Macaca mulatta: one gene and its partners. The protein of the gene in region 4 interacts with the protein of the main gene of each other region in a pairwise test. Links are inferred from orthologs where the notes say so. Each region holds a gene or a part of one and is shown on either strand. Other genes may lie near its edges. The genes, in order: SMYD1, RHOBTB3, NAA50, BHLHE40, MAGED1, STK19 and AANAT.

The links.
Region 1: the proteins of BHLHE40 (region 4) and SMYD1 interact in binary tests that used the Homo sapiens proteins (3 or more experiments, as listed by UniProt). The link is inferred for Macaca mulatta from reciprocal best matches to the Homo sapiens genes BHLHE40 and SMYD1.
Region 2: the proteins of BHLHE40 (region 4) and RHOBTB3 interact in binary tests that used the Homo sapiens proteins (3 or more experiments, as listed by UniProt). The two-hybrid records come from large-scale screens. The link is inferred for Macaca mulatta from reciprocal best matches to the Homo sapiens genes BHLHE40 and RHOBTB3.
Region 3: the proteins of BHLHE40 (region 4) and NAA50 interact in binary tests that used the Homo sapiens proteins (3 or more experiments, as listed by UniProt). The two-hybrid records come from large-scale screens. The link is inferred for Macaca mulatta from reciprocal best matches to the Homo sapiens genes BHLHE40 and NAA50.
Region 5: the proteins of BHLHE40 (region 4) and MAGED1 interact in binary tests that used the Homo sapiens proteins (3 or more experiments, as listed by UniProt). The two-hybrid records come from large-scale screens. The link is inferred for Macaca mulatta from reciprocal best matches to the Homo sapiens genes BHLHE40 and MAGED1.
Region 6: the proteins of BHLHE40 (region 4) and STK19 interact in a two-hybrid assay, tested with the Homo sapiens proteins (2 studies listed by BioGRID). The two-hybrid records come from large-scale screens. The link is inferred for Macaca mulatta from reciprocal best matches to the Homo sapiens genes BHLHE40 and WHR1.
Region 7: the proteins of BHLHE40 (region 4) and AANAT interact in binary tests that used the Homo sapiens proteins (3 or more experiments, as listed by UniProt). The two-hybrid records come from large-scale screens. The link is inferred for Macaca mulatta from reciprocal best matches to the Homo sapiens genes BHLHE40 and AANAT.

What each region holds. Positions count from the first base shown.
Region 1 is NC_133418.1:26,070,463-26,073,962, forward strand, and holds part of SMYD1 (histone-lysine N-methyltransferase SMYD1), read right to left. Parts: intron 576-3,500; coding exon 445-575; intron 1-444. UniProt on the Homo sapiens protein: Methylates histone H3 at 'Lys-4' (H3K4me), seems able to perform both mono-, di-, and trimethylation. Acts as a transcriptional repressor. Essential for cardiomyocyte differentiation and cardiac morphogenesis.
Region 2 is NC_133411.1:102,094,572-102,098,739, forward strand, and holds the start of RHOBTB3 (rho-related BTB domain-containing protein 3), read left to right. Parts: upstream 1-1,368; 5' UTR 1,369-1,736; coding exon 1,737-1,738; intron 1,739-1,746; exon of another isoform or gene 1,747-1,851; intron 1,852-1,914; coding exon 1,915-2,140; intron 2,141-4,168. UniProt on the Homo sapiens protein: Rab9-regulated ATPase required for endosome to Golgi transport. Involved in transport vesicle docking at the Golgi complex, possibly by participating in release M6PRBP1/TIP47 from vesicles to permit their efficient docking and fusion at the Golgi.
Region 3 is NC_133407.1:170,005,194-170,007,965, forward strand, and holds part of NAA50 (N-alpha-acetyltransferase 50), read left to right. Parts: intron 1-437; coding exon 438-504; intron 505-2,105; coding exon 2,106-2,283; 3' UTR 2,284-2,772. UniProt on the Homo sapiens protein: N-alpha-acetyltransferase that acetylates the N-terminus of proteins that retain their initiating methionine. Has a broad substrate specificity: able to acetylate the initiator methionine of most peptides, except for those with a proline in second position.
Region 4 is NC_133407.1:143,722,682-143,725,811, forward strand, and holds the end of BHLHE40 (class E basic helix-loop-helix protein 40), read left to right. Parts: intron 1-289; coding exon 290-1,146; 3' UTR 1,147-2,630; downstream 2,631-3,130. UniProt on the Homo sapiens protein: Transcriptional repressor involved in the regulation of the circadian rhythm by negatively regulating the activity of the clock genes and clock-controlled genes.
Region 5 is NC_133426.1:51,809,909-51,813,408, forward strand, and holds part of MAGED1 (melanoma-associated antigen D1), read left to right. Parts: intron 1-1,393; exon of another isoform or gene 1,394-1,521; intron 1,522-2,039; coding exon 2,040-2,120; intron 2,121-2,820; coding exon 2,821-3,500. UniProt on the Homo sapiens protein: Involved in the apoptotic response after nerve growth factor (NGF) binding in neuronal cells. Inhibits cell cycle progression, and facilitates NGFR-mediated apoptosis. May act as a regulator of the function of DLX family members.
Region 6 is NC_133409.1:150,337,769-150,342,035, reverse strand, and holds the start of STK19 (winged helix repair factor 1), read left to right. Parts: upstream 1-1,467; 5' UTR 1,468-1,573; coding exon 1,574-1,820; exon of another isoform or gene 1,821-1,834; intron 1,835-1,905; coding exon 1,906-2,115; intron 2,116-2,246; coding exon 2,247-2,383; intron 2,384-4,267. Other genes in the region: DXO (decapping and exoribonuclease protein), read right to left, coding at 1-79, 207-426, 513-748, 919-1,274. UniProt on the Homo sapiens protein: DNA-binding protein which is required for efficient transcription-coupled nucleotide excision repair (TC-NER). Acts as part of a TC-NER complex which assembles and interacts with RNA polymerase II (RNAPII) when it stalls at DNA lesions.
Region 7 is NC_133421.1:86,220,800-86,223,936, forward strand, and holds AANAT (serotonin N-acetyltransferase), read left to right. Parts: upstream 1-1,229; 5' UTR 1,230-1,304; coding exon 1,305-1,458; intron 1,459-1,721; coding exon 1,722-1,876; intron 1,877-2,213; coding exon 2,214-2,519; 3' UTR 2,520-2,637; downstream 2,638-3,137. UniProt on the Homo sapiens protein: Controls the night/day rhythm of melatonin production in the pineal gland. Catalyzes the N-acetylation of serotonin into N-acetylserotonin, the penultimate step in the synthesis of melatonin.

The DNA of each region.
Region 1 (3,500 bases), on a different chromosome or scaffold from region 4:
AGGCATGAGCCACCAGGCCCTGCCCCTTGTTAGTATCTTAAACCCTGCCCACACTTCTGTAAACTGTCCCTTCATTCAATTGTATTTGGGTAAACCCCTTTGAGTGTGCCTCCTGATTCCTGCTGAGACCTTGACTAAATGACCTCTAGACAGATAATCCTAGGCTTCAAGTTTTAAAATAGTAGTTAAAGGTTTATCTGACACATCTAGGCAGCCCCAAGAAACATACACACTCAGAAATGACCCAGGTTGAATTCTTTGATATCCTCCATGATGCCTTTCTCTCATTCACAATTATTCTGGAATGAGATTTCTATGTGCTATACATTTAAAATCTATGCTAGTTGAGGTTTAGCAGGTTGACTTTGGCTTAAGTCAAGTGGACAAAACACCATAGGTCTCCCCATCCCCATCACACACCCCCCCAGATAAAGACATACTCACTTGCCATTGTTAAATATGACAGTGCAGTTGGGCCAACAGTCATGGTTCACCAGGCCCAGGTTGGGGAAGATGCCTACGCCCACGGCCTGCAGACCTCTCTGATCACTGAGAGTAAAACCGTTGCAGTTAATCTACCCAGAGGAAAAGATGAAAGAGTCAGTCAACAGACATGGACAGAACGCTATTCTAGCTGTTGAAAGCAATTTTAAAAAACAGAGGACCCAGTCTCATCCTGGAGATGCTTAGGGAGTCTGGACACAGAACATTAGTCCCCTGTTCTCTGTGTGACTCCAAATGACGCACAAGATTAGGGCCATGGGACAGTCCCACATCTGCAAAAATGCAACCCTACCTTGAAAGTTTTTTGTGGCTGTATTCTAAAAGAGTCAAAGATGGAAATGTTTTCCTTTTTCTGTATCTGGGTCTTACATGAGTATTCCTCAGTCTCTGTCTTGGTTTTTCTCTCTGTACCCTTCTTTGCACGCGTGTGTGCGTGTGTGTGTGTGTGTATGTGTGAAAGAGCTTTTCCTTTCTCTATTTCCTCTGCCTACTTAGTTTAAACTCCTGTGGCTGTTCATAAAAAAAATTAACATCTCTTTTGATTATTTTGTATCTGGTGAATACTGTTATATTCCCTGCTCACAATTTTTAAATCTGGTGAGTGCCATATTTAACACTTATCACTGAGATTCAAGGCAAATCAAGTTGGTTACTACTGATGTGGCATCCAAGTGATTTTCTTTTCCTTAAAAATAAATTGTTCTTTACAGAAACAGACTCCAAATATCTGCTCTCACAGTATGAAAAATGCAGAAGAATAAATATAACCTAGAATACATTAGTAACTGCATGCAAATTTCCACTTCATCTGTAAATACATCTATGAATACATGCTATATATAACAGAAACCCAGTAGACATTTATTCCCTCACATGAATATTTGTCATAGATATGGAGGAGTGTCACTTTCTCCACTTACTCTCATCAGACATTTAGTAAGTTCATGATGTTAAGCCTGTGAGTACCACTAACAAGCTGTACTACTTGGAGCAAACTTCTTTCTTCTCTGAGCCCTGGTTTTCCCATCTATAGGTTGAATAAATTGGACTAGATGAGCTCCAAGGATCTTTTCAGCTCTAACCTTTGGTAATTATATGACCTCTAGCCCTAGTCCGCAGACCTATTAGGGATGCCCAAGATTGCGCAACACACCAATTCACCCCAAGGCTATAGAACATAACTGTTAAAAGTAAAAGCTTAGACCGGGCGTGGTGGCTTACGCCTGTAATCCCAGCACTTTGGAAGGCCGAGATGGGCAGATCACTTGAGCTCAGGAGTGCAAGATCATCCTGGGCAACATGGTGAAACCCGGCTCCTACAAAAAAATACAAAAATTAGCCAGGCCTATGCTAATTGCGTCTGTGGTCCCAGCTACTTGGTAGGCGGGAGGATGACTTGAGCCTGGGAGATGGAGGTTGCAATGAGCCATGATTGCACCTCGGCACTCCAGCCTGGGTGACAGAGTAAGACCCTCATCTCAAAAAAAAAAAAAAAAAAAAAGGTAGAAGCTCTGGCTCCTGAAAATACAGATTGCTTCTGGAATTTCCCTGGGCACAAGCTAACCATGTGGCTTTTGGAGGTCATGTAACCTCTCTGGACCTAGGTTTTCTGTTCTATAAAACAGAAATGCTGAAAGCATGGACCTTACCTTGTGTTGTAAAGACTGTGTGAAATAATACATGGGAAGCTGTGGTGGTTAATTTTGTGTGCCAACATGGCTGGTCAATGGTGCCCAGATATTTGGTCAAAAACTATAATGTATGCTTCTGTGAAGGTGTTTTTGGATGAGATTCACATTTAAATTAGTGGAGTTGAGTAAAGCAGAGTGCCTGCTAGAATGTGGGTGGGCCTCATCTAATCAGTTGAAGACCTCAAGAGAATAAAGACTCATCTCCCCTGAACAAGGAGTTCTGCCAGCAGAATGCCTCTGGACTTGCACTGCAACTCTTCCCTGATCTCCAGCCTGCTGGCCTACCTTGCAGATTTTGGACTTACCAAGCCTCCACCATTGTGTGAGCCAAATCCTTGGACTCAATCAATCTCTCTCCCTTTGTCCCCCAATATGGTGAAGACTCGAGAGATGTCAGTGTGATGTTTGTCCTCCTCCCTCCTCAGCCTGCTCACCTTCGCCACATAAAGAGCCTGGCCTACCAGGTGGAACACATCCATCCCCACAGCCAGGACCTGAGCCTCCTCATCCACTGGGCTCTCGCCCCCACTTCCGGGACTGTTATGGCCTCACCTGGCTTGGTTGCTCCCACCCCAAAATCCTGACTCCCCTCTCTCTGGCTCACAGCCCCCACTGCTGCAGCCTCCACATCAATCCTGCCTGGCAGACCTGGAAAAAGGTTTCCAAAGTGACTGGTGGGCAGGAAGGGATAGTGATTGGGGGTCTTTATTTTCAATGTGGAGAGGAAAAAGTATAAAAAGTGCAGATAAGTAAGAGGATAAATTACCATCCAAATCTATCATCCAGAGATGGATAAATAAGTAAGATTTGTATGTGGGATGCCAATTCAGATAGAGCAGGAATGGCCTCATAGTAAACAAGGCCAGAAGATAGAGTCCGGGATGAGGGGTCTTCATTTCAAGCTCCTATCCTCTTTCAGTCCTCTTGGCCTCCCCTCCCAGCTGTGGCCTGGCAGTTTCTGGAAACTTCTTAGTTGGACGATCCCAGCTGTCACCATGGCCCCTCCTTTATGAGGAATCATACTCTAGAATCTCTGGCTTTTATTAGTTGGGTCATTTGGAGGCCTGTCCCTGGGCTCTGAAATGGAAAGGGCAGTAGATGTTTCTGCTACATATGGTAAACAGAAGGTGGTTTCTCCAGAGCCTCTGGCTGCCTGGGCTAGATGAGACCTTTATGGAAACAGAAATTAGGGTCCAGGGCGGACAGGGCTTCCGCCTCGTAGTTCACTTCTGAGAAGCCCCACCCTCCCCAAGCAGGAGGAGGGAAGGAAAGAGGAGACAGACAGGGAGGGTGGAGAAGGGACGC
Region 2 (4,168 bases), on a different chromosome or scaffold from region 4:
GTTTCTGGAAGAGACTGATGAGAAAATATATTTTCCATTAACCCAAGAGAAAAAGTGATCCTGAATGCTGGAATTTTTAAGGATGGTTTAGGTTCTAGAGACTAAAAGAGAAATCAGAAAATGCAAAGGGAAATTAGATTTAAAAAAATTAGTGACCACATAAAGAATGTCTGCTATTATATCTTCTCTGAGCACGAGAAACTACTAAACTACTTTCAACCGAGCAATAAGGGCCCATAATAAAAAGCTGTTACCCTAGTTTTTTACTACCCTACTCAATACCCCTTCTTTCATACCCTCAAAATAGCTCAGTTGAGAAAAGAAACAGTCCAATTTTACAGAAGGGAAAAATAAATAGATAAAAGGATAAGCAAGAACTCTTTTTAAGACGGAGTAAGGTACTGGTTAGAATTTTAATACTGTATGGAGGAGTCTAACCCCAGAGTAATCCCTGGCCCATTTTGGTGTAAGTGGATCCCAGTGTTCGTTTGTATTGAGGTAGTTTGAAGCACGCTAGGGATATTCATAGCCTTTACTTCAGTGCATTATTATGAAAGAATCTAAAGTATCTTTGCATTTACATGATTATGTTTTCAGTTGGTCTGCGGAGCTATTATTAAATATGTGTCCATAATGTGTACAGAAAAATCTCCAAGTAAACTAGCATTTAACTCACCAACACATTAAACCCCCATACATAACTTCCTTTAAAAACGATCACACTAAAAATCCCAGCATTTAAAATCCTGAAGTTTTCGCTAAAATACGCTAAATAAAGCTCGAAATAGTAAATAATCCCCCCAAGGCGACATTAGCAAATTAATTGGTGTGCGAACAAAGAACCCTTTCTGCAGTGGCATGAATGTTGTCTTTATTTTTTCTCACAAGTATGATTTTAGAAAACAGCAGTAGCGCATGTTGACAAATGACAAAGCGGCAGCCGTGGTAAAGCACTTTCGGTCAAAGCCAAGAGGGGGGAAAATCGGGTTGCTGGGGCGGCACTCGTGCTGGAATCCCTAGCTTCCCTAACCTCCTTTTTCCAGTCCGGAGTGAGCGGGGGCCCCATCGCCCCACCCCCCTTTCCTGGCTCTGGTTACGGCCTTGCGAGTTGAACAAACTTGCTGCAGGCGGATTGGCGGTCGGGAGCTCTCGGGCTGGGGCGTTGTATTTATTAATTTATATTCCGCGGCGCCCCGCGCGGGCCACTCCTTTGTGTCCGGCCGCTGCCGCGGGAGCTCCGGGGCCTCGGCGGGGAGCGCGTTCCCTGTGTCCGCCCGACCCCCGGGGCCGGCACGTGCTTCGCCCGGTCCGCCGAGGGGGCGGAGGCCCCGATCTCCCCGACCCCCCTTCTCTGCCTAGAGGAGGAGGAGGAGCAGCGGCAGCAGCAGCAGCAGGAGGCGATAGCTGCCAGCCGAGGAGGCGCGGCGGAGAGGGGACTGCGGTCAGCTGCGTCCACTCGGGGCTGCGCGGCGGTCCCGCGCCCGGCGATGTTCCCGGGCAGTCTCTGAGTAGCAGCAGCTTGCCCCCCGCCCGCTAGCCCACCCTGGTGTCCGGCTCGCTTGCTGGCTGGCGCGGCCCCGGCCCCGCTCTGCGTCGGCCCCGCCGCGGTGGAGGCGCGCGAGAGGGACGCGGCCGGGGATGAGCGGATTGCGGGTGAACTCGCCGCCCGGGGGCCCCGCGAGGCCGTAAGCCGCTGCTTTTCTCCGAGTCGCCGCCCTGCCCTTGGATTTGAGATCATGTACGTACGCGCCGCCGTCCTGCCATTGTCTCTCTCCAGCGCGTGCCGTGCGCCCCAGGGACGGGGGCTGGTGCCCATCCTAGCCGCGCGCTGTCCCCCGCACTTCCTGTTCCGAGGAGAGACCCGCGCGCTGACCGTGCTTCCCTTCTCCCCTCGCCCCCTCTCTGTCCGTGCAGGTCCATCCACATCGTGGCGCTGGGGAACGAGGGGGACGCGTTCCACCAGGACAACCGGCCGTCGGGTCTCATCCGCACTTACCTGGGGAGAAGCCCTCTGGTCTCGGGGGACGAGAGCAGCTTGTTGCTGAACGCGGCCAGCACGGTCGCGCGTCCAGTGTTCACCGAGTATCAGGCCAGTGCGTTTGGGAATGTCAAACTGGTGGTCCACGACTGTCCCGTCTGGGTAAGGAACAGCAGCTGCTCCACGCCAAGGCTGAAGAAGCTTTTCTTTCCTTTTTTGCCCCCTCCCCCTTCTGCCCACTTCCGTGAGTGTGGAGTGTTCGCGTTACATGGGTCAAATTTTTAAACATTTTTGAGAAAATATTCGGTCCTTTGTTTCACTGGGCAGGGCACAGCCCCGTCAGAGAAGACTCTTAGGAAGATAGAAGGCCCCAGTGGGAATGTGGAGCACTTACTGGTACACTTCACGACTGTGGGTTGTCCCTTGGGAGGCAGCTGACAGTTGAATGTGCCAACTCCAAGGGACGGGGTCACTAAGTTTCACCAGCAGAAAGCAGTGTTTTTTTATGCCTACCCTATGGGTGATAGTGTAATATTGGTGTTCTAAAAATACAGCCTTCTCAAAGCTCAACACAGGCAAAAATACTTTTCATTGGGACAGTTCAGAAATAGTTCCTCTGGAAAGCAGAGGAAAAGACAGGGACTGGGAGTTAATTTTAAATGACTCATTTATAGCACTATTAATTGATCTCTGAAAACTTTTAATTTTAATAATGCAAATACTCTTTATGTATTAGCCATTTGTCTTAGTGACTCATAAATCAGAAATAATATTACTAATGTTGCTTGGAAAACTTAAAAAATTAAAATTTGTAATAATTGAACAAAATTGTAGTGAAGTGGATAAATTGTAGCCCGATTCTTGAGTGTTTGATTAAGGGAGAAAGGAATTTACTTTCTGACACATATAAGTATTTTCAGTATACAATAACATTATGTTTGAATGTTTTCCTTTGGTCTTATTTGAAAATCTCTGATTCTTTACTGATATTGGAGTTACGTATGTTTCAGCTAAGTTTACATTTAATAACAGAAGAAAGTTTAGTGCCTGAAAAAATACGAATTGTCATTGTGTGAGATTTCACATTTAAACAGCAATTTTAAAAACTGAATCAGGGCTATAGGAAACTATCATGCCTTTCTAAAAAATGTGTAGAGTGTACTTGGAAAAATTTTTTATGCAAAATTCCATGTAACAGAAAGAAGATCACTCGCTTGTTTAAGTTTTCAGTTAAAGAAGAAAGTTTGTTAATTTGGTAAAATAAAAAACAGACCTTTTCAGTTAAGAGATGCTATTAAACCCCTAGTTATGACAGTGATGACGCTGGTCATAAGAAGTGTGATGGAGAGCTTACTGACCAGAGTCTATGCAGGCAAATGAAACACTTCTTTTACTTGGACTCTTTCGTCGTGAAAGATCTTACAGCCTAAAAACATAACGGTTCAACATGCAGTTGAACAAATGTTTGGTGAATAGAGTAAACGTAGGGAAAATAAAATTAGCTACATTAGGATGTTAGGATTGCTTTCCCTATATTTAATTTGAGCTGTTAACATTTTCCTGTTTATATTGTTAATTTTGCAAACAGCAATGCTTGTGATCCCATACACTTTGTCTAGTAAAATGAAATCTTCCAAATGGAGAAAATAAGCCTCTATGGTACGGATTTTTCCCATATGCTGGTTGTTATGGTTTATTTTGCTAATCACTTTTTGTTTGGTTAGACTCTGGCCCTATTTAAGGCACCAAGTTTGTAACCCGGTACAATTTGCTGGGCTATAATGATCTTCAGATATGAGATTCCATTTCTAGAGTTGCTCTTTATAAGGTGCTTTTCTTCACTTGGTGGTAAGTAAAGCCCATCAGAGATACTAAAGCTGATTGCATTAATAAACTGTTATTTGACATATTACAGAATCAGAATATTACATAGAGCAGATAAAGCACAGCCTTTGATATCAAAAGGATCTGATTTCAGATTCTCACATTGCCATTTCAGGTCTGCGTGTCCTTGTTAAATCACTTACCTTCTCAGCCTTATTTTCCCTATCTATAAAATAATCTGCCTCCTAGAGCTGTGCTGAGAAGTGAATGAGAAACTAGCACGCATCACGTTCTAAGTATAGAGGCTGACATTTAGTAGCTGCTCTATAAGTGGTAGCTAATATAAAAATAAAGTGTTTGTTATAA
Region 3 (2,772 bases), about 26 Mb from region 4:
AAATTGTGGGTTTTTTTACTTCTTCAGAGAGGCATAAACATATTCTTTGTTAATGTGTCTGACCTAGTAAGTTAATTTGGGTCTTTTTAAGGAATACTGAGAAAGGGTTACTGAATTATGTAAAATATGGTGAGAAATAACTAATGTTTGTTAACATAATTCTGCTGGAATCCCTACATAGATTTGCTATTTACGTCCCCTTCTGCTTTTTCTGTTTTTCTTCTACCTGGAAGTGCTTGTTTAAAAAGGTTAGTCTTCTGTTAACAGTTTTAAACATATGTAGCTATTGTAGAGAGAGAACACAACTTTGGAAAATAAGAATAGTCTATACCTCATAAATTCTATTAGGACCCAATAAGTAGTTCAGATGGCAGGTGGATAGATACATAATTTAAAGGTTGATTTATGAAGTCACATGTTATTTGTTTTATTAACAGGAACTAAAATGTTAAATCATGTCTTAAACATCTGTGAAAAAGATGGTACTTTTGACAACATTTATCTGTAAGTAAATTAATATTTTATGTTCTTATCAGAGGGGTTTAATAAGTTGGCAGGAGAAATCTTGACTAGAAACTTTAAAATCTGGTCACTTACTGTGCCTTTGGAAACACTGTGGAAGTAGTTGTTACAAAGTATTCGAGTAGTTGTTTTGTTTAGTTTTGTTTTATTAATAATAGTAGATTAGGGACCTGAGATAGAACACATTGCTTTATTATATTAGGATGAGAGCTCCAAAATCATAGGGAGGAAATCAGGATTAAAACTCAGGCCTTGGCCAGGCGCAGTGGCTCACACCTGTAATCCCAGCACTTTGGGAGTCCGAGGCAGGCGGATCACAAGGTCAGGAGATAGAGACCATCCTGGCTAACACAGTGAAACCCCGTCTCTACTAAAAATATTTAAAAAATTAGCTGGGCATAGTGGCGGCCGCCCATGTCACAGCTACTCGGGAGGTTGAGGCAGGAGAATGGCGTGAACCCGGGAGGCGGAGCTTGCAGTGAGCTGAGATCACGCCACTGCACTCCAGCCTGGGAGAGAGAGCGAGACTGCATCTCAAAAAAAGAAAAAACTCAAGTCTTCAGAATTCAAAACCATTAATACTACTTTTCTCGTGCATAACCTTGTGTGTTTTGTTCAAGGCTATGTTGGATAGCCTTGAACATTGTAGTAGATCATTTGTAGTAGAGTTTAATAATCAAAATCATAGATTACCTAGCTGAGATTATACTTGAATCTCAAGAGGCTGTACATAAAGAGCTATGACTAAGATCACAGTCATGGATGTTCATAATTTAGTTTGGCTGTGTGAGATGCTGAATTATACAGTGTTATTTTTGGGAGTAATTGAGAAAGCTTGCATTTTTAATTTTTAAAACATACCATGTTTTTTATCAATCAGAAGGAAGATATATCTTCAAGCTTTGAGACCCTAGTTTTTTATTTTTCATCATTATTTTCTGTGTGTTAATAGGGCCTTTTAATAATTTATCCTCTTAAAATGAAAAAATTTTGATAGCTGTGGTACTTTTCCATTTGTTGACTATAAGAATAAACACTGTGAGCCTTCTAATCTTAACCAGCTGTCTTACAAATGTAAAAATTAGATTAAAAGTGTAAAATTGGGCCAGGCGCAGTGGCTCACGCCTGTAATCCCAGCACTTTGGGAGGCCAAGGCCAGGCAGATCATTAAGTCAGGATATCAAGACCATCCTGGCTAACACGGTGAAACCCCATCTCTACTAAAAAATAGAAAAATTAGCTGGGCTTGGTGGTGGGCGCCTGTAGTCCCAGCTACACGGGAGGCCGAGGCGGGAGAATGGCATGAACCTGGGAGGTGGAGCTTGCAGTGAGCCAAAATCACGCCACCGCACTCCAGCCTGGGCGACACAGAGAGACTCCGTCTCAAAAAAAAACTGTAAAATTGTCATCAAAAGCTTTTAGGTAAGCATGCCTAACCTTTGTTGATTAGTGGTAATTGTAAAGAGAATGTAACAAATGTGCAGCATTCTAGCTCCAACCAATTTGGAGCTATCTGTGGAGAATGCTTAAAACTTGATGAAACCTTAATTTTAATTTTTTTCTGATACTCTCTTATACCTCAGGCATGTCCAGATCAGCAACGAGTCGGCAATTGACTTCTACAGGAAGTTTGGCTTTGAGATTATTGAGACAAAGAAGAACTACTATAAGAGGATAGAGCCTGCAGATGCTCATGTGCTGCAGAAAAACCTCAAAGTTCCTTCTGGTCAGAATGCAGATGTGCAAAAGACAGACAACTGAACAAATTACAAATGAACTTTCTTGCACTTGCTTGTCGCCAAATAAAAGAGAGGCCCATTGATACCCCCTCCCCCAACACTTTTCTTTTAAAGCTTTTCTCCCTCCTTGTTCTTGTTTTTCTTTCTTCCTTTCCTTTTCTCTAAGAGTTATAATACTTTGAAGGACTTCAAAAAAATAATCATGTTTGAATTGTTTTCTCTTATTTTTGTGAGGTGGTTTGAAGGAAGGAGAAGGTAGATCTGTTTAATTTTGCAGTTAAAGCTAGATGGTCCTAAAAATTTAATTGTCAAATTTCAAATTTAATGTCCTGCTTTCACATTGAAGGGCAGAGCCTACAAAACATTGTATATTTCAAAAGACAAAAAGAAGCAGCAGCAATATCTTGTTCTCTAATGCATAGACTAGTTGAGTGTGTTTGTGGTACTTTGGGTTTTTTAAGACTGGGATACTAATCCCTAGACGTTGCCTTCACTCCACCTTTAGTCCTTC
Region 4 (3,130 bases):
GCAGCTCATCTCTATTAATTATGGTCCATTTCCATGATAGGATATTATGCAAACATTAAAAATCGTATTTTATCTGAGTGTTAGTATATGGATTATTTTAATTTAATTATTTATACTTTTCAGTGTAATTCTTCTCTGAGCATACTACTTTTGGAGTTAGGAACACAAATCAGTAAATGCGATTTCTTTTTTTAACAAAAACGAAAGCACCTGGTTTTTTGGCGTATAGGTATCCAGGTGCACCACAGGGCCTTCTGAAACATTTTCCTTTGGATTTTTGTTTCCCTAGGTGAGCTGTCAGGGAGAAATGTTGAAACAGGTCAAGAGATGTTCTGCTCAGGTTTCCAGACTTGTGCCCGGGAGGTGCTTCAGTACCTGGCAAAGCACGAGAACACTCGGGACCTGAAGTCTTCGCAGCTTGTCACCCACCTCCACCGGGTGGTCTCAGAGCTGCTGCAGGGTGGTACCTCCAGGAAGCCATCAGACCCAGCTCCCAAAGTGATGGACTTCAAGGAAAAACCCAGCTCTCCGGCCAAAGGCTCGGAAGGTCCTGGGAAAAACTGCGTGCCAGTCATCCAGCGGACTTTCGCTCACTCGAGTGGGGAGCAGAGCGGCAGCGACACGGACACAGACAGTGGCTACGGAGGAGAATCGGAGAAGGGCGACTTGCGCAGTGACCAGCCGTGCTTCAAAAGCGACCACGGACGCAGGTTCACCATGGGAGAAAGGATCGGCGCAATTAAGCAAGAATCCGAAGAACCCCCCACAAAAAAGAACCGGATGCAGCTTTCGGATGATGAAGGCCATTTCACTAGCAGTGACCTGATCAGTTCCCCGTTCCTGGGCCCACACCCACACCAGCCTCCTTTCTGCCTGCCCTTCTACCTGATCCCACCTTCAGCGACTGCCTACCTGCCCATGCTGGAGAAGTGCTGGTATCCCACCTCGGTGCCAGTGCTATACCCAGGCCTCAACGCCTCTGCCGCAGCCCTCTCTAGCTTCATGAACCCAGACAAGATCTCGGCTCCCTTGCTCATGCCCCAGAGACTCCCTTCTCCCTTGCCAGCTCATCCGTCCGTCGACTCTTCTGTCTTGCTCCAAGCCCTGAAGCCTATCCCCCCTTTAAACTTAGAAACCAAAGACTAAACTCTAGGGGATCCTGCTGCTTTGCTTTCCTTCCTCGCTACTTCCTAAAAAACAACAAAAAAGTTTTTGTGAATGCTGCAAGATTGTTGCATTGTGTATACTGAGATAATCTGAGGCATGGAGAGAAGATTCAGGGTGTGTGTGTGTGTGTGTGTGTGTGTGTGTGTATGTGTGTATGTGCGCGTGCGTGCACATGTGTGCCTGCCTGTTGGTCTAGGACTTTAAAGCTCCTTTTGGCATAGGGAAGTCACGAAGGATTGCTTGACATCAGGAGACTTGGGGGGATTGTAGCAGACTTCTGGGCTTTTCCCCACCCAGAGAATAGCCCCCTTTGATACACATCAGCTGGATTTTCAAAAGCTTCAAAGTCTTGGTCTGTGAGTCACTCTTCAGTTTGGGAGCTGGGTCTGTGGCTTTCAGCAGAAGGTACTTTCAAAAGAGGGCTTTCCAGGGCTCAGCTCCCAACCAGCTGTTAGGACCCCACCCTTTTCCCTTTATTGTCGACGTGACTCACCAGACGATGGGGAGAGAGCAGTCAGACCGAGCTTTCTGCTAACATGGTGAGGTAGCAGGCACTGGCATAGCACGGTAGTGGTTTGGGGAGGTTTCTGCAGGTCTGCTCCCCACCCCTGCCTCGGAGGAATAAAGAGAATGTAGTTCCCTACTCAGGCTTTCGTAGTGATTAGCTTACTAAGGAACTGAAAGTGGCCCCCTTGTACAAGCTGAGCTGCCCAGGAGGGAGGGAGGCAGGAGTTCCCTGGGCTTCTGGCACCTGTTTCTAGGTCTAACCATTAGTACTTACTGTTCAGGGATCCAAACCAAGGTCTGAGAGACACAGACACCCCGAACGAGCACCCCAAAGGGCACAAAGCTGAGTAACAAACTGCTGCCTTCAAACAGAACTAGACTCAGTTTTCAGTTCCATCCTAAAACTCCTTTTAACCAAGCTTAGCTTCTCAAAGGCCTAACCAAGCCTTGGCACCGCCAGATCCTTTCTGTAGGCTAATTCCTCTTGCCCAACGGCATATGGAGTGTCCTTATTGCTAAAAAGGATTCTGTCTCCTTCAAAGAAGTTTTATTTTTGGTCCAGAGTACTTGTTTTCCCGATGTGTCCAGCTAGCCCCGCAGCAGCTTTTCAAAATGCACTATGCCTGATTGCTGATCGTGTTTTAACTTTTTCTTTTCCTGTTTTTATTTCGGTATTAAGTCGTTGCCTTTATTTGTAAAGCTGTTATATATTATATAAATATATTAAAAAAGGAAAATGTTTCAGATGTTTATTTGTATAATTACTTGATTCACACAGTGAGAAAAAAATGAATGTATTCCTGTTTTTGAAGAGAAGAATAATTTTTTTTTTCTCTAGGGAGAGGTACAGTGTTTATATTTTGGAGCCTTCCTGAAGGTGTAAAATTGTAAATATTTTTATCTATGAGTAAATGTTAAGTAGTTGTTTTAAAATACTTAATAAAATAATTCTTTTCCTGTGGAAGAGAAAGATGGTCTCCTGAATTTTTTTTAAATAACTCAATTGGTGTGATATGGCTGACTCCTATGTCCTTCCTTCTTGGCTTAAGCAAACCAGTTAATCTCAGTGTAATTTCATTCAGCTTTTCATGTGCTTTGTATTCAATCAGAATAAGCTTAGTCAACTTGGCAGGTAAATATTGGTTTAATTTTTTTTTTAACCCTTGCCAGGGGTACACGATCATCCTCTACCTCTCCAGAGTTAAGTAAAAAGCATATTTTCCCCCGCCTGCTTTCATCGTGGTCCTTGGAACTTGACAGAAAACCAAGGTATGATACCGTGGGCTGCAGTGTCTGGGGAGCCTGCTGGAGGGAGAGGCACATTGAGAAAAGATTTACTGGATTATTATGCAATACTAATTGATGCTGGGATAGCACCTCTTTGCCAAAGCAGTCTAGCTTTTTCAAATCTATGAAGGTCTAATGGATTTGCCATATCCTGTCTTATTCCTGCTGG
Region 5 (3,500 bases), on a different chromosome or scaffold from region 4:
TGGGTAGGACCCACTTGCTGTGCATTCCACTTTGCACATTGAGAAACCGGGCTCAGAGAATTGAGTGACCTGAGCGGGCTCACACAGCTGGAGACAGACAGGCTGGGCACTCCATCGCTGGAATTCTGAAGCCCAGCCCAGTTTCTCTCCGTAAGACCACAGCTGCCCCAGACCCCAGCCCTGAAAGGAACCAGGGCTTGCCATGGCTCAGACACACAGGTCTGATTGTCCTGGCTGCTCCAGTGGGCACCAGAAGGCCTCAGGGACAGTGTGATTGTATCCCTGATAAGGAAGAGGCCTGACGTTCTGAGCACAGAGTGGACCCCAAGGAGCAATTTCCACACCTGGATGGACCCACATAGGGCAGGGGGGAGGGTGGGGGCCTCTGCTTGTGTCCTCCTGAATGCAGAGCATGAGCTTGGGCCTCCTAGAACACAAACTTTGCTTGTTTAGGACAAATGGGGTGCCGTGGTCTGTTGCTCAAATGGAGGAGGGAGGGGTACCCTTAGTCCCCAGGGCAGCATGAGCAGAACGTGGGTTTTGGAGTCAGGAAGACCCAGACCCAAATTTTGCATTTTGTTTTCTGGCTCTGTGGCCTTGTCTAGTTTATGCAATGTATATGTGCCTCATCTTCCTGATCTGTAAAATGAGGGTGCTGACATTCACCTCCCAGGGCTGCTGTGACAGGAAGACAAGCCCCAGCACAAATCCTGCTGTGATGTACAAGCTGTGCCCTTCCCTCCTTTCCTCCCCCAACACACACAAATGAGTCCATCACCGGAGCTGCATAAAGAACAGGGAAGAAACTAACGTTCTTTCTGCGTCTGGGAGCTTGTGGGGGCGGGCAGGGAGTGGGGGAGAAATCATGGAGTCACGTGGCAGCCACAGACTTACTACTACTACTTTGTTAGCTCCAATAGTGTATCCTCTCAGGCCATTCCGTTTCCTCAGCGGAGGTCTAACACTTGTTGCAATTAGAGACCCCACACAGAGACCTAAGCGTGCTGGGCAAGGGGGTGGAGATGCAAGCCGACCTGACAGGAGGGGCCTTGAGTAGGGGAGGGACGGAATAGAGACGCATTGCGGAAAAGGTAGGGGGCCGGTGTGTGGGGCAAGGGGTGTGACCAAGAGGCACAGCGCATCTGTTGGGGGAGGGGGCGTAGAGGAAGGGGAGGTGCTGTTGTATAGTGTCGACCTGGTTGGTGGTGGGGTGGTGTGTTGGCAAAGGGGGCGGGACCGCCTTCAAGCGCACATGCGCATCATGGTCTCCAGGACGAAGCTTTTGTTGGGAAAGCAGGCGGGACTGACTTTGGCTTTTCAGTGTTTGCGCATGCGCGTAACGTCCTGAGGCGGTGGGTGGTATATTAGGCGAAGAGGCGGGGTCGCCCAAGCTGCCGCGCTGGCATTTTCTCCTGGACAAGGAGAGAGTGCGGCTGCTGAGAGCCGAGCCCAGCAATCCCGATCCTCTGAGTCGTGAAGAAGGGAGGCAGCGAGGGGGTTGGGGTTGGGGCCTGAGGCAAGGTGAGAATTAGCCCCCAGACAGGGCATCTGCCCCCTGGTGCGGGCCCCCATTTTTGTTTTATCCCGATCCCTTCACCCTGGATTCTGAATCCCTTTCCACCCCCCAAGCCCCAATTCACGTGCCCCTCCCGATCCTTCCTGATTCAAAACCCCTGTCCGATCCCTCCCATCGTTCGAAATCCTCAGATTCCTTGACCTCGATCTGTACTGTTAGATGATTCCTCCTGACTCAAAACCTCCATGCAACTTCCCAAATGCGAATCCCAACCCAACCGCACCCCTCCTCCGCGAATTTAGAACTCATCTGCTTCCCAAACCCCGATTTGAAGCATCTCCCTGTCAGTAGCTTCTCGGGGTTCAGAACCTGCATCTGGACGCCCATTCACTTTTCCTGCTCCGATCCGTTCCTCCTCACATTCACCTTATCCGCCCGCACAATCAGACCACAGTCATCCCCCTCCCAATTCGGTCCTTCGTATTTGCCCTCTGTAGTATAACGCCCTGCCCCTCTCCCACAGCCCCCAGGCTCCGCTCTTGCCAGAGGGACAGGAGCCATGGCTCAGAAAATGGACTGTGGTGCGGGCCTCCTCGGCTTCCAGGTGAGATCTCCACTCCCCACCCCAGCATTTCCCCAGCCGACAGTCACCCCTCCCCGCGGGCCTCTTTGGTTTCCCAAACGCCGGGATCCGGTTTGGCCCTCTTTAGTGACTAGACTCCGTGGGCCTTTCGAATTCTCATCGTTTATCGAAGGGGGGGAGGGGCGTCTCTTTTCAGCCATCAGTCCCTGCTCAGAGAGAGGGGAGACCCTGTTAGTAGTCAGGGCAATCTGCCCAGAGAATGCGGGGTGGGTAAGGAACCATTTTTTTTTTCCAGAGTCCTGACGCTTGTAGAGCAGTCTGTCACCCCCTCCCCCAGCCTCCTGCCTCCACCCTCCCTCTCTCTGCATTCCCCACTCTGTGCGACCCCCCTTATTCTCAACTCCGCGATCCGCCTCCCGTCCTGAGCTGCTACTGCACGCCTCTCAGAGCGTCCCTGGCTCCTGTTCCTGCCCACTCTCTGCACACCTCCCCACCCCTCATTTTGCCCCTGCCCTACTCCATCCCTGCCACATGTTTAGTACCCGCCCCGCCCCCTATCGCCCCTTGCGGGTCCCATAGATCTCTGCCTCAGCCCCCCTGTTTTTGCACCCACCACCCGCCTGCAGCTCCCCTGTTGCGCTGCCACCCGGGCTCCCTATTCCCACCCCACCTCCTGCCTCAGAGGCCCAGAGATTTAATTTTTCCCCTCCTGTGTTTGCAGGCTGAGGCCTCTGTAGAAGACAGCGCCTTGCTTATGCAGACCTTGATGGAGGCCATCCAGATCTCAGAGGCTCCACCTACTAACCAGGCCACTGCAGCTGCTAGTCCCCAGAGTTCACAGCCCCCAACTGCCAATGAGATGGCTGACATTCAGGTTTCAGCAGCTGCCGCTAGGCCTAAGTCAGCCTTTAAAGTCCAGAATGCCACCACAAAAGGCCCAAATGGTGTCTATGATTTCTCTCAGGCTCATAATGCCAAGGACGTGCCCAACACGCAGCCCAAGGCAGCCCTTAAGTCCCAAAATGCCACCCCAAAGGGTCCAAATGCTGCCTATGATTTTTCCCAGGCAGCAACCACTGGTGAGTTAGCTGCTAACAAGTCTGAGATGGCCTTTAAGGCCCAGAATGCCACTACTAAAGTGGGCCCAAATGCCACCTACAATTTCTCTCAGTCTCTCAATGCCAATGACCTGGCCAACAGCAGGCCTAAGACCCCCTTCAAGGCTTGGAATGATACCACTAAGTCCCCAACAGCTGATACCCAGACCCAGAATGTAAATCAGGCCAAAATGGCCACTTCCCAGGCTGACATAGAGACCGACCCAGGTATCTCTGAATCTGACGGTGCAACTGCACAGACATCAGCAGATGGTTCCCAGGCTCAGAATCTGGAGTCCCGGAC
Region 6 (4,267 bases), on a different chromosome or scaffold from region 4:
CTCTGGGTTACGGAAGCCAGCAACAACATTCGGGACACCTGGGAGGAATGACTGAGCCCACCATTTCAAGAGCTTGTGTCTGTCAGGAAAAGCAAGGGGTCAGTGGGACCCCTCGTCCACCCTCCATTCTGCCTTCACCCTCCTCCCCAAGTCCCTTTCCCAGCCTTCAAGTCTAAGCTCTCGCCCTGCCCACCCCTGTCCTGAACCTGTAGAAGCTCCTCCATTGGCCAGGGCTGTGCATCTCCTTGGAGGTCTTGAGCTCCACATAGCAGGTGGGGGGCTGTGTGGATGGGGTCTGGGGGTCTGTGCAGTCTACCTCCCCTGAGAAGAGCAGAGGGTGGCTTCCCAGGCGGCTGCGTAGCACAGAGCAGAAGGCCACGTTGGTGTTAACCTCCCCAGAGGGGTCTGGGGAGCTTCCAGGTTTGTCTGCACAAGGAGAGAAGCAGCAGCAGGGGTGGGGGACTCTCAATCTCTGGGAAGGGGAAGGGGGCTATGAAGCAGGGGCAACTCACCTGCACACATATACTGCTCAAATTTGTATCCCATGTACATAAGCTCCCGGAGGAGCGGTGGCCGAGCAAGCCTCTGGGCCCGGGCTTTCGGCGTCTCCACCTCACTCAGGTATAGTGTTCCCTGGAACCGAGAGGCTGCCAGCTGCCAACCCTCCTGCCGCTCATACGGTGTCGTCAGCAATTTTGTCAGGTGCCCCCGCCATGTCACTATGGCCTCTGCCAGCCAGCCTGGACCCCTGAGAGGCAGGAGTTACAGGCTGAAGGTCTGACACAAGCATTAGTGAGATGCTCCCCTCGAAGAATAGTCTGTTTCTTTTAAGGACTGATTCTCACCCCAGCTGTGGCTCTCCTAATTTTAGAGGGTAGTACGGGTCTCCAGATATACTGCCTGCCACGCTTTGCTCACCCCTCCAACCGGCCTCGGTGTTCCAGGAGCCAGCACAGCAGGTGGTTCAGCCTTTCTTGGACCTCCTCGTCCCGGGGCTGGTATCGATCCGGGTATCCGTCTCTGAGGTCAAAGTTGGGGCCTGGACCGTTAGTGGGGGGTGGGCTATAGTAGCGCAGGGCTCGGGCATCTCCATGGTACTGGCGTTGAGCATCCAGGGAGAAGCAGCCCAGTTCCGAAGGGCGCCGGTAGAAAGGAAAGGGCCCAGAGTAGAGGGCAGGGTTTGTGGGCAGAGAAGGTGCTGGACGGGGTAGTTTGTTCCGAGGCTCAGCTACCTCTGTCTTCTCAGCTCCTCTCTTGGTCCCCCTGGGATCCATGAGGTCCTAAGGGAAGCAGGGGGACAGAGTTTCCATTTTACAGAGGAGGCCTGGAGAAGGATGACTGGTTTAGGACTAAGCGAGCCACCTGATCGCCAGGTTCTGGCCTTGAAACATTCAGGCCCCTCAGACGCCACCGCGGCCAACCTCTCATCCTGCCTCTTTCCTTGCCCTTCACCCACCCTCCCTCCAGGTCCTCCAAATGCAGTGAGGTTAGGAAGGACGCCTGCGCTCAGATCAAGAATCCAGTTACCTCAAATCCACTTCCCCAACTTCCACCTCCGCAGGGCTATGACGTCATGGCAGGCACACGAGAGGCCGAAGGATGCAAAAGTGGTTTTTCTGCTTTCGATGATGCAATCATTCAGCGACAGTGGCGGGCAAACCCCTCCCGGGGCCGGGGAGGTGTGAGCTTTACGAAGGAGGCTGATCCCAACGTGGCCACCGGCGCCCCTCCACGCCGCCCACGAGTCCCCAGGCGTGCGTGCCCTTGGAGGGAGCCAATCCGCGGTCGGCGTGAGGCCCGGCCCGGCGGACGTGGTGCGGGTATCTGCGTCGCCACCGCCCCTCCCAACACTGACTGGCCTGAGGGAAGACAAGTTGACGCCCTTTTCGTCACCACCTGGTCTAGGAGGGACGCCCGGGGAGACCGTACGTCACTGTTCTGCGCCGGAAGACCCTATTTTCAGGTTCTCTTCCCTCCATTCCTACCTCTTCCCCGGTACCATAAAATCCCGGGATATGAGCCGAAAAAGGCATCACCTGGTCCCGGAGACCTTTGGAGTTAAGAGGCGGCGGAAGCGAGGGCTTGTGGAGTCGGATCCTCTTCGTGGCGAGCCAGGTAACCATGGCAACCCCGGGGCGGGGCTAAAGACCCCAGCTGGGTGGGGCCTCGCTTCCGGTAGCCGAGAGTTTTGTTGGAACCGCGTCCCCGCCCCAGTTCCCTGTCTCTGACCCGGTTTCTCGGTCCAGGGTCGGCGCGTGCGGCTGTCTCAGAGCTCATGCAGCTGTTCCCGCGAGGTCTGTTTGAGGACGCTCTGCCGCCCATCGTGCTGAGGAGCCAGGTGTACAGCCTCGTGCCTGACAGGACCGTGGCCGACCGGCAGCTGGTGAGGGGCGTCGGTGCGACCGCCGGAGGCCCCTTTCCTGACTCCTAAAATTTCCTGTCCCTCAGTCACTCCGCCAGCTGTTCAGCAAGCATTAGGCCTTTCAGGGGAGGGCACTGTTCCGGGCACTGGGGTGCCACAGAGACCCTGTTAAATGGGTCGCAGGCAGTACAGGGCATTTCAACCATGGAGGGAGAAGAACGAGGCTTTTGGGGAAACCGAGTCATGGGGCATGGTTCGAACATAGAGCACTGGGAGTGCAGACAGACGTCAGATCATGACAGGCCTTGTACATCAGTGTTGTTTCCATCTTACACTGAGGCGATGGGCTGGTAGAGAATGTCATAGAGAGAGGGAATGGTGTATTGGAGGTAGTGGATGAGGCAGGGAGGTCAGCTAAGAAGACACTGCATCTGAGAAGTGGTGAAGGCCTAAATTAGGTCAGTGCAGTACGGAGGGAGAGGAGAGTGAGAAAGGGAGGAGTCCAGGAAAACTCAGACTTTCCGGATGACTGCGTGGCTGGTGGTATTAGGAGCACATTTAGTTGTTGGACTACGGATAATGTGTTTAATTTTGTACAAGTTGAGTTGATGGTGCATGTGGAGCATCCAAAGACAAACGTATTAGACAAGTGGCTATTAGAGTTGGAGAGAATTCTGGCCAGTGATAATAGAATTACAAGTCATGGAGGTGTGAATAGCAAGTGGTTAATTCTGTGAATGTGGTGAGATCCAGTAGGAAGAGTGGGTAGAGGAGTGATTTCTAACCTTTTTATAATCTTTAGAAGGTGATAAAAGTTATGGCTATTTCTCTCCAGAAAAATGTACGTATGCCACATATACATAGGATGTATGTACAGTTGGGGGGAAATACTTCACTAATCTTCTGAGGTCCATGGTTAAGGACTCCAGGTTTAGAGTGGAAGTTGATAGGGTCAAATCCACAATGCTGGGAAACACTGTCATTTAAGGCAGTGTTACTGAATGTATGAGCTGAGTTATGCCTGTGTCAAAATTACATGGGCTGTTTATTTAAAAAATACAGGTTCCTGGGACTCATCCAAAGTTAATGAGTTACAATCTCTTGGGGTGGGATTTGGGACTCTACACTTTTGAACTGCCTCAAGTCCTTTTTAAGTGTGCCTTAAAATTTGAGATCCACTGACATAAAGGGAAAGCAGAAGAAGAGGAATCTGTGGCAGAGGCAGAGAAGGAATTGCCTGAGTTAAGAGGAACCCAGAGGCCGGGGCGGTGGCTCACGCCTGTAATCCCAGCACTTTGGGAGGCCGAGGTGAGTGGATCTCTTGAGCTCATGAGTTTGAGACCAGCATAGGCAACATGACAAAACCCCATCTCTACAAAAAAAATACAAAAATTAGCCAGGCATGGTGGTACGCACCTGGGGAGGCTGAGGTGGGAGGATTGCTTCAGCTGGGGAGGTGAGCTGAGATAGCACCACTGCACCCCAGCCTGGGTGATAGAGCTAGACCTTGTCTCAAAAAAAAAAAAAAAAAAAAAAGGTAACCCAGGAAGAGGCCTATTGTAAAAGTAAAGAGATTTTTGAGAAAGTGAAGTAGTTGGCAGTATTAGAACCTGTGATTCAAGACAGTGGTCTAAGAAGAGGGAGGAGGTAAAGTAAAATATAAACAAATCTAGGCTGAGTGTGGTGGCTCATGCCTGTAATCCCACCACTTTGGGAGACTGAGGCAGGAGTATAGCTTGAAACCAAAAGTTTGAGACCAGTCTGGGCAACAAAGTGAGACCCCGTCTTTACTAAATAACTGAGACCCCATCTCTACTAAATAAATAAAATAAATTGAAACACAAAAATTCTTAGCTGGGCATGGTGGTATGCACCTGTTCTAGCTGTTTAGAAAGTTGAGGCAGA
Region 7 (3,137 bases), on a different chromosome or scaffold from region 4:
AGTCAGCCTCTGGTAATCCCTTCTGTGCCCAGGGCACCAGAGCTGACGTTTCCCTTCAGCAAGGCAGGGGCAGAGGCTGCCAGAGCCCTGCTGGCGTCATCCTGCCTGGGATAGCTTGAGAGGTGGGGTGGGGGGGATTAGAAACCTCTGAGAACAGCACCACAGGCTGCCCTGGTAACATCTGCTACTACAGCCTTGCAGCCAGGAGTCCTGGATTTTCCTGGTTCCTGTGCCTGCGGACAGGTCCCCAGGGCCACTGGCTTTGTGGAGGGAACACGGTGCCCTCTCCACAGCCCAGGTAGGTGGAACCCCAGCTCCTGGCTCTCAGCCTTCAGGAACAGGAGCTTCCCTGCTTGGAGCTTCTAGACATGGAGGGAAACATGGAAGTCACGGAGTTTATTAAGTGTCTTGGAAGGTAGAGGGAGGGATGGCCTCCTCTAAGAACTGCAAATTTGCAGGGTGTCTTGGGAGACAAGAGTGCCCAGAGAGGCATGTCCGATGAGCTGGACGTGTGGGGCAGGGGGTATCCTATGCATCCTCCTTGCCTGTTCCTCCCCATCCCCCAGGCCCTCTGCAGCCCCCGGCTCCCTCTAACCTCCCCACCCCCCACCACAAATCCTGCATATGTGTGGCCCAGTCTGAGGCCATCTGGATAGAAATAGAGGCTCCCTAAGGGGATTAAGGGGCTTTTTCTCTAGGACCAAGGGCTGAGACTACCTAAAAAGCTCTCCGCCACAGGATCTTGCACCCAGAAAACCAGAAGCCTCCCTCTGGGGAGGTAAGATAAACCACATGAATGGTGGTGTGGGGGACCCGGGGGCCCACCCACTGCACAGCTGCATTAGATGTGGTCAGTGGAGGGTCAGGAGTCCTGCCTCCCCGCTGTGGGCAGCAGGGTTGGGGTGCCCCAGGCTCCATGGAGCCCTGCTCATCCCTGCCATCTCTGGGGCTCAGAAGCACCCAGAAGGCACCTGAGACCAGTGTCTGCAGGTCTGCAAGGGGACAGACCTCCAGGGATCCTTCTGGCTGCGAGGGAAAGGTGGGGAGACAGTGCCAATGTTTGTAGTGCCTGGTAACAGCCTTGAAGACCAGGTACCCGGGGAATGTGCCCATTGATTTGGGGGCTGGCTCCACCCAGTTCCTGCTATAAAAGAGGCCAGATGCACAGTGTGGGGCCAGACTCCCTGGAGATGAGGATCAGACCCCTGCCCCTTGCTGTTCTCCAACAGGTGCTGGGAGGCCCTCCGTGGCTTAGGAGGCCACTTCCAAAGGTGGGGTGCCCCAGGGAGGCACCAGTGGCCAGGATGTCCACACAGAGCACCCACCCCCCGAAACCCGAGGCCCCGCGTCTGCCGCCTGCGATCTCGAGCTGTCAGCGGCGCCACACGCTCCCTGCCAGCGAGTTTCGCTGCCTCACCCCGGAGGACGCCGTCAGCGCCTTTGAGATCGAGCGTGAAGGTGAGTGGCCCTGCACAGGGTCAGAGGGAAGCTCCACTCCGGTCCAGTTATCCTGTGGGGAGGAGACCCTTGAGTCTCCTGTCTTGGAGGCTGGGTCCCAGAGTATCAGACCATGTGTGCGCTCAAGAAAGTGGAGGAAACAGCAGCCCTAAACCCCATTTTCTTGGGGGGAATGGGGCATTTGAGTAGACACTCGGGGTGCAGCAGACAGTGGACGTGAGGCACAGCGACTACCAGTTGCCCACCTGAGCCTCCTGCCACAGCCTTCATCTCCGTCTTGGGTGTCTGCCCCCTGTACCTGGATGAGATCCGGCACTTCCTGACCCTGTGTCCGGAGCTGTCCCTGGGCTGGTTCGAGGAGGGCTGCCTTGTGGCCTTCATCATCGGCTCACTCTGGGACAAGGACAGACTCATGCAGGTGAGGACGGCGCTGTGACGCCCAGCTCCAGGGAGGCCTCTGAAGACAGAGGTCAGCCAGACGGTGGGGAGGGGAGCCCAGGGGCTGGGATTTCTTCCTCCAGAACTGGAGAGATGAGTATAGGCCACAGCCCCCTCCCAGGGCAAGGCGTTCTGGGTTTTCAAGTTTTCTCCATGGGGATGGGGGTATGGCTCAAAATTTGGGGCCCTCCTTGGCTGGGGCGGGAGCCCTGACCACAGGCACCGAGGGGACACCTGCTCCCTGCCTGGGTCGGTGGCTGGGGAGGAGCATGCATCAGCAGAAGTGACCTGGGCTCTCGTCCCTTGCTCACCTCCAGGAGTCACTGACGATGCACAGGCCTGGGGGCCACATAGCCCACCTGCACGTGCTGGCCGTGCACTGTGCCTTCCGGCAGCAGGGCAGGGGCCCCATCCTGCTGTGGCGCTACCTGCACCACCTGGGCAGCCAGCCGGCTGTGCACCGGGCCGCGCTCATGTGCGAGGACGCGCTGGTACCCTTCTATGAGAGGTTCGGCTTCCACGCCATGGGCCCCTGCGCCATCACCGTGGGCTCCCTCAGCTTCACGGAGCTCCACTGCTCCCTGCAGGGCCACCCCTTCCTGCGCAGGAACAGCGGCTGCTGAACTGGGCTGCCCACCTGGCTGCCAACGTGATCCCCGTCTCTGCCCTGGGCCCCTTAGCTCAGCTGAGCATGGAGACAGCAGTTTCCAGAGTGGAGAGAGCAGGGCTAAATAAAGAGGAGATGGGGTGGCTTCTCACAGCCCGAGCTGGAGTGGTGTGTCCTGTCTGTTCCCACGAGGCCTCTGGACCTCCTGTGTTCTGAACTCTGTACCTGAGACTGGGCTGGGTTGGTAAGTGGGGACAATGGGAGGCGCTGTGGGTTCCCTGGCTCCTTTCCTCCTCCTGGCAGGTGGGCAAAGGCACCAAGGCAGCATCCTGACAGGAGCCCATTGCTCAAGGGGGGTCCTTATTCTCCCCAGCCTCGTGGATGCCCTTTCTCACTCTTTTTTTTTTTTTTTTTTTTTTTTGAGACGGAGTCTCGCTGTGTCCCCCAGGCTGGAGTGCAGTGGCCGGATCTCAGCTCATTGCAAGCTCCGCCTCCTGGGTTTTTACACCATTCTCCGCCTCAGCCTCCCAAGTAGCTGGGACTACAGGCGCCCACCACCTCGCCCGGCTAGTTTTTTGTATTTTTTTTAGTAGAGACGGGGTTTCACCGTGTTAGCCAGGATGGTCTCGAACTC